Caenorhabditis elegans: one gene and its partner. The protein of the gene in region 2 interacts with the protein of the main gene of each other region in a biochemical or structural test. Each region holds a gene or a part of one and is shown on either strand. Other genes may lie near its edges.

Region 1 (3,758 bases), on a different chromosome or scaffold from region 2:
TGCTCAAAAAACTTGGAAACAGAACGATGCACGGAAAAGAGTTGGACTATTCTGAACATATTTTTTATTTATATTGACTCACTAGAGGCGGTGAAACCGTCATTACTGTATTATCACCTTGCCATTTTATCTCCTGTATAGATTGCCTGATAAATAAAAGCGTGTAATGTTTAACTGGATTTCGATTACTACATACTAAACAGATAATATAGCATGAAGAGCAATATCTGAATAGAAAAAAGAAACTTTAAAGTAAATGTAATGCATGATTCAGTGAATAAATATGGAAAAATTGCTATGGAGCATTCGTAAGTGTACAACTTCGGCTTATCCAAATCCATTTTCCGCTTCTTTCTGACCTACAACAGTGACGCCTTCAAAATAAAATTTAAAGTGATAATCGTCTTTATTTTTGACGAGAATAAAATATATTGCAATAAAACTATAGTACATGTGATCACTTGTGAATAATAATATTTGACATGGAATTATAAACTTAAGACGAGCGGGATGGGTGAGTATTTTACAAGTTAATCAATATAAATTTATATTATTTACAGCATGCATTCGTCGAAACTTCCGACATCGGATTCCAAATGCGGCTGCCAATCCGAATCCTCGAAGTCGGCGGATACGTCGTGGTCACTTTCCCGGCTCACACGATCAGTGTCGATTTCCGGGCCATTCGGACATTCGCTGCAGATCTCGTCGATGCTCTTTTTGATGCTCTGGATGCGCTCTCGAAGTTGCCTAGCGAGTCCTTGTTCTGGCCCATTCTGGTTGGCAAGTGCACGCTGAATGGCATTTTCCACACGATCCAATCCCAGAATGGCGCTCCTCGCATCATCAGAAACATTGGCTTGATCTAGGTTGATGGTCGAACTGCTTGGTTCAGATGACATTTCCTCTGACGAATGAACGACATATGTGTTGCAAAGGGGATTCTGAGTTGATTGTTCGGGCTTTCCGTGGTCTTGCTCAGCGTCTTCCGAGTCGACATAGGCCAGCTGGTAGAAATCTCTGTTCAATGATTTGCACAGAATTTCATTAGTTTCCTCTCGACTCTAAAAAAATAAGATTTTAGTTCAATAAAATTATATACTCAAGAAATTTACCTTGTTCAACGTTGTCATAATTACAGCATTATCAAGTAGAATCGATGAAGTGTTGTTGAAGACTGCAGCTGGCACAGCGACTGTGTTGGAGTCACAATATCTCAATGGAACCAAGCTGTACTCGTCGTCACTTCCGTCCTCATTGATTGCAGGATTCTTCGGCGTGCTGGTGTAAAGTGGTGTGAACGGCTGTAAAACAACAAAATTAGCATAAAGTTGTTAAAATAAATATTCTCACCCGTGGCTGACGATCTTCCGGAGTGTTATCCAATTCGAATCGGACTGCTTTCAACACACGAGGAGGGAGTTTGAATCCTTTCGATGGATGTGGAGTGTATTTATGATCCTCAGGAAGCTCATCTTGTGCTGGAGTAGTTCGATGCTTCCAATACGAAATCTCGTCGTCATCCCACCAAAACTCGTCGTTTTTCATTGACGACACAGACTCGCGAGTCTTTTTTTCAACAAACTTCTCCATTCCGTCGACGTCGTTGTTCCGGAAGCACTTCATTATTTCATCGACAGTTTCTTTGTCCTGTTTCTTCTTCAAGTCCTTCTCAGTCTGACGCCATACAAACCAGCTGAATGGCCGGAAGAACGAGACGCCTTGTACGTCAGAAGTGTGTGGAGATGCCATAGAATGCCAGGAGCTCGATAATGAAGTCGATTTCATTGTTCGAAATGATGAATCGGAAGTGCTCTGCCCTGAGCAGTAGGACAGAGCATCTTCTCCGATCATCACTCCGGCGTCTTGTCGAACCATTTGGAATCGAACGGCTGCAAGAGAAAATATAATTGGGAAAAAAGGAAGGAAAAGTGGAAAAAGGAAATTGAATAAATAAATTTTCGAAAAAATTAAGTTTAAGCTTCGAAAATTAATCCTAAAAAAGAGAAAAATGTGATTCAAAAAGGCTAAAAGTGAAATGAGAATACGAAAATACGAAAATACGCGCCTTTCATTGCACAGGTCTCGGCGCGACTTTACCTCCGGAAAATTTGGCACATGCGTCTTTAAAAGAGTACTGTAGTTTCCTTCAATATTTGCGACAATGAAAAATCGATTTAAAATCGAAAATCTTCCCAATTTGTTTTAAAAAATTATAAGAAATTACATGAGCTCAGAACATTTTTCTTTGGTATTTTTTCATTTCTAGTTGAAATCCAGTTAAGTTGCTAAAATTTAATCCCGTATTTTGTTGATTTTCCAGTAATTTATTTCTAGAAATAAATCAAATGTGTTTTAAACTCTGAAATTTCAACAGAAAAAACAAATAATCATGCGAGTATTCGAAGAATCGCATAAACTCCGAAACTTTAATTTTTTTAAGTTCATTGCCCGAGAGGAGAACACGGCCGAGAATCTGAAAAATCATTTGCACGCGGAATTCAAATTAGATCCTCAGGAAGCTCATCTTGTGCTGGAGTAGTTCGATGCTTCCAATACGAAATCTCGTCGTCATCCCACCAAAACTCGTCGTTTTTCATTGACGACACAGACTCGCGAGTCTTTTTTTCAACAAACTTCTCCATTCCGTCGACGTCGTTGTTCCGGAAGCACTTCATTATTTCATCGACAGTTTCTTTGTCCTGTTTCTTCTTCAAGTCCTTCTCAGTCTGACGCCATACAAACCAGCTGAATGGCCGGAAGAACGAGACGCCTTGTACGTCAGAAGTGTGTGGAGATGCCATAGAATGCCAGGAGCTCGATAATGAAGTCGATTTCATTGTTCGAAATGATGAATCGGAAGTGCTCTGCCCTGAGCAGTAGGACAGAGCATCTTCTCCGATCATCACTCCGGCGTCTTGTCGAACCATTTGGAATCGAACGGCTGCAAGAGAAAATATAATTGGGAAAAAAGGAAGGAAAAGTGGAAAAAGGAAATTGAATAAATAAATTTTCGAAAAAATTAAGTTTAAGCTTCGAAAATTAATCCTAAAAAAGAGAAAAATGTGATTCAAAAAGGCTAAAAGTGAAATGAGAATACGAAAATACGAAAATACGCGCCTTTCATTGCACAGGTCTCGGCGCGACTTTACCTCCGGAAAATTTGGCACATGCGTCTTTAAAAGAGTACTGTAGTTTCCTTCAATATTTGCGACAATGAAAAATCGATTTAAAATCGAAAATCTTCCCAATTTGTTTTAAAAAATTATAAGAAATTACATGAGCTCAGAACATTTTTCTTTGGTATTTTTTCATTTCTAGTTGAAATCCAGTTAAGTTGCTAAAATTTAATCCCGTATTTTGTTGATTTTCCAGTAATTTATTTCTAGAAATAAATCAAATGTGTTTTAAACTCTGAAATTTCAACAGAAAAAACAAATAATCATGCGAGTATTCGAAGAATCGCATAAACTCCGAAACTTTAATTTTTTTAAGTTCATTGCCCGAGAGGAGAACACGGCCGAGAATCTGAAAAATCATTTGCACGCGGAATTCAAATTAGATCGAGGAAAAGAGTAGTATTTGGAACTTTGTACATCATAACATCTTTCTGGGAGACTTTTGTGATGTTTCCCTTATGCACATTGCCTTGTTAGATCATATAAAAAGCTTTTGAGCAGAGTCTCAAATATTACTACATCACCTTTACATTTTGGAACCTTTAATTTTTCAATGGAAGTTTGTCTTCTCAACAAATA
Region 2 (3,758 bases):
ACGTGCTCCGAACAAAAGTGTGGATTTAGTTTCAGCTTCGTTGAAATGTGACGGAGAAGCACAAATAATAACTGTAGTACGGGAATTTCCTCCTAGAGATTCTTGAAGAATACGAGTCAGTTTGGAATCACGATATGGAACATGAGATTTCTGAAATAAATATTCGTTTTAAGAAGGTCATAATTTAAACAACTCACAGTTCCTTCAGCCAATGCTGAAATAACTATTCCGAGTGCAGTAAGTGACTTGTTGATGTTTTTGGCTTCTTCTAAAACTGTTCCTTGAGCTCCAGTTTTGCTCACTTTCTCAGAACCAGCCAAATCAACAAGATAAAGCTTTCCGGTGAGCTGTTTCTTTGTTGTCTGATGTTCTTGTTTCACAGTAATCAAGAAGACGGAATGAGATCGAGAAGAATGTTCGTTCATGTCTGAAATTTCGTTCACATGTTAATTTGTTTAATTTTAAGTTTACTCACTCGTAACTGCAACCATTCTGTTGGATTTTCCATCTTCGATTGCCTGAAGAACCTCATCGGGTCCTCCAACAAACCGTTCGGTGGCTCCCTTCACGTATGGCACTCGATTTTTATCTTCATGAATGGACAAATTGACCTTCTCGGGGTCTAATAAATCTCGAATCTTCTCGTTGTAAATTTCATAATAGGACACTTTGATGTGAAATTGAAGATTCTCGTCCATACTATAAATGTGGTTAAAGATGTCAGCAACGATACGTGGAATGATTCCCGACAAGCCATTATCACCGATTACTCCCTGTAAAAAATATGAAAATAATTAAATTATATTGTTAATTTCATCGAGCGCCGAATATTTTAAACGTAAAAATTATCAAAAATCTTTCGGGCATTCGATTTCGGAAATAACTGCTGAAAATTAGTTCTCAAACTTTTCTTTTCATTAATCAGTAAAGATTTGCACTGTTGATATTACAACTTGATTGTCTTTGTCGCATTCTACGTAATTATCAAGGTTTTCATAATTCCTACCTCCATTGTATGTGTTTTTCCGGAAGATGTTTGTCCATATGCAAAAACTGTTCCATTATAACCGGATAATACATCCTGTACGATGTGATAAGCGGCTCCTTTGTACACTTGCTCTTGCGTGGTGTTCGGCTTGAACACTTTATCGAACACGTATACTTTTCCCTGAAAAATTCCAACAAATCAATCGATATATATATATATATTCAACTTTGCACTTTTCGTGTACTTTTCAAACAGATGAATGTGTCATGTGAGAGAATTGACACACCTGCATCCCCCGTGCTTCCCGTCCCTGTTGACATAATTGTTCCCTATGACCCCTTTGTATTACTCACCCCAAGCGATATACTGTCCTCGGAAGGGAATTTGGGCAGGAAACGGTCCGCATTCTTCTCCTCGGTCTTATTGAGCGGCCGAATACGACAAAATACCTGAAAACAATATGAAATTGGAAAATCTAGGCGGGGAAAATTAATACCTGGACACCGCATTCTGCTCCGTCTGTCCGCGGCTCCATTTTCAGAGAATAATGATCACCAGTTGGCGGTTTGTAACGGCGCCTATCGTATTAATTACCCGGCTTCTCCTTACAATGCCTGCAATAAGTATAATCAATATGCTGAGTAGAGAACAAGAAAAGATGACGAGATGCAAGAGAAATAGAGAAAGGAGGAAACGGCAAAACATTGCGAAATTTCGGAATATTTCATCACTCGTCTCGTGCGCGATGCACAGAAGCTGCGAGTTTTGTTTGATTGGGCGGCTTTGACAAAAAATAAACTAAAGGCTCATAGATTATGGATAGACAACGGAATGATAACAAAATAACAAAAACTGCAACGTTTGTACTGAATATTCAAAATTTTCACACAGAAAATAGAGAAATAGAAAAAGACTGGCGTCGATCAAACGTGGCACACACAAATTTCACAAATTTATGCATTTTTGGTTAAATTGTTCGAAAAATGAGTTCGGAAAATGTTTTATAATTGAAATAATAGCTTCAAAACAACAGGAAACTTCTGGAAACAATAAAAGTTTTTCCCGCGCGGAAAAATGTTTTAGTTGGCAATTTGTCGTGAAATCTTGGGTTTTTCGAATTACGTACGTTTGCCTATCGTATTTTCGGTCAGATTAATTTTTAATTTCAGTTTTCTTTTTTTTTTCAGCAATGCTTATTTAATTACTTATTTATATTTGACATTTTATGTATATGCGCGAGAATTAAAAATTAAAAACAACTTGCAAAATCTCGTACATTTTCAAAATTTTATACTATAAAATTAACACCATCCAGCAGTGCTCAGTAAACCCGTTCATAATATACCCAGATTTAAACCAAATTAAAACCGTACAAGCCTATATTGTGAATTTATCTGCACAAATTTGGTTTGGATCTACACAAAATCGATTTGGAAATACACAAACCTACACAAATTCAGTTTACATCTACTCAAACTTGCAATCTATGCAAATTAAGTTTGGATCTAGACAATCTTGGTTTACATCTGCCCAAAATTAGAATTTTTCATAATATAGGCTTGTACGGTTTTAATTTGGTTTAAATCTGGGTATATTCTGAACGGGTTTACTGAGTGACAAGAAAGACAAAGTGAAACTGAAATCGCAAATCCAAAAACTAACATTTCTCCACGATACTTGTCTCTTAACTTTTCGGAATGAATATTAGCTTCAATATTATGCAATAACATATGGATAAATGCGGTTTTAAATAAATTTCATAGATAAATACACAAACTAAACAAGATGAGGATATCCGAGGGCAAATAAGGAGACTCAAACCAAATATGGTCATCAAATTGACAATGAGTAATGGCCAATACGACACGATACGGCAGATGGTGAAGGAAGGCGGGGGAGACCGATTCGGATGCGAAAAAGAACGATAAGAGAGAAAAGACACTGCAGGTGGGAGTATTGTGTTCAGTAGATTTTCGTGGTGGGACCTAGAGGATGGTCGGTGCAAAAGCTTCATTGAAAAAGAGTGAAACGAGAGGAGAGACACACTCACAACATTCATTCGTTTGGCGGGAAAAGAGACGAGGGAAGACTTTAGTATTGGGTGGTAGAAAGAGTTGGAGAAAGAAATTCGAAGGGATACAAGGAATGTATTGGCATCGTGAAGAGACACAGAGATACATCCGTGGTTCCCTGTGTTCTCTTCATTTTGTATAATGTTTTATTCTCGGTCAGAGGGACAACGGACGGCCTCTTCAAACACTCACAGAACATTCGCTCACTGCGCTCACTAGTAGAGAATAAAGGAAGTTACGAGAGAATGAAACTTCGAAGATAAATCAATTTTATTTTTTAAAATCAATGTTCGTAAACTTCGAATTAAGTGAAACCGTAATTTGAGATATATGAGTTTTGTTTGATCATCACAGCTACCATTTTCTCGGTCCATAGCCACATTGAGACAATGGATCTGATTCTGGTGGTTGATGATATAGTGGTGCATATCCTGCTGCTGCAGATGGATCATAGTGATTTGATGAAGCAGATGATGAGGCATGTACAGAAGTTACGGGACGTGACGGCGTTAGATAAGCAGTGTGATTTGGAGGCTGAAAATGTAATGCAATATTTTAAAACACGTTTTACAAGATAATTTATTTAAACTTTATAAAACTTACTAGTTGCACGAGGTTTTGTTGTTCCTGCTCTTTTATCTTATGTTCCGCTATTTTAACGGACTCCTTCAATACAGCACGTCGGGTGAACATCAGAA

What was found.
Region 1: the proteins of unc-116 (region 2) and kca-1 form a complex in vitro, tested with the Caenorhabditis elegans proteins (one study listed by BioGRID).

The regions. Positions count from the first base shown.
Region 1 is NC_003279.8:4,759,430-4,763,187, forward strand, and holds kca-1 (Kinesin Cargo Adaptor), read right to left. Parts: upstream 1,893-3,758; 5' UTR 1,879-1,892; coding exon 1,354-1,878; intron 1,305-1,353; coding exon 1,116-1,304; intron 1,065-1,115; coding exon 555-1,064; 3' UTR 391-554; downstream 1-390. Other genes in the region: viln-1 (HP domain-containing protein), read left to right, coding at 1-55.
Region 2 is NC_003281.10:8,353,573-8,357,330, forward strand, and holds the start of unc-116 (Kinesin heavy chain), read right to left. Parts: upstream 1,603-3,758; 5' UTR 1,524-1,602; coding exon 1,485-1,523; intron 1,438-1,484; coding exon 1,342-1,437; intron 1,169-1,341; coding exon 1,007-1,168; intron 774-1,006; coding exon 476-773; intron 428-475; coding exon 198-427; intron 151-197; coding exon 1-150. Other genes in the region: Putative RNA-binding protein R05D3.8, read right to left, coding at 3,415-3,594, 3,664-3,758. UniProt on the Caenorhabditis elegans protein: Microtubule-dependent motor protein required for organelle transport. Plays a role in endosome transport. Required for the transport of mitochondria along the axon of motor neurons. Involved in the nuclear migration of hyp7 hypodermal precursor cells.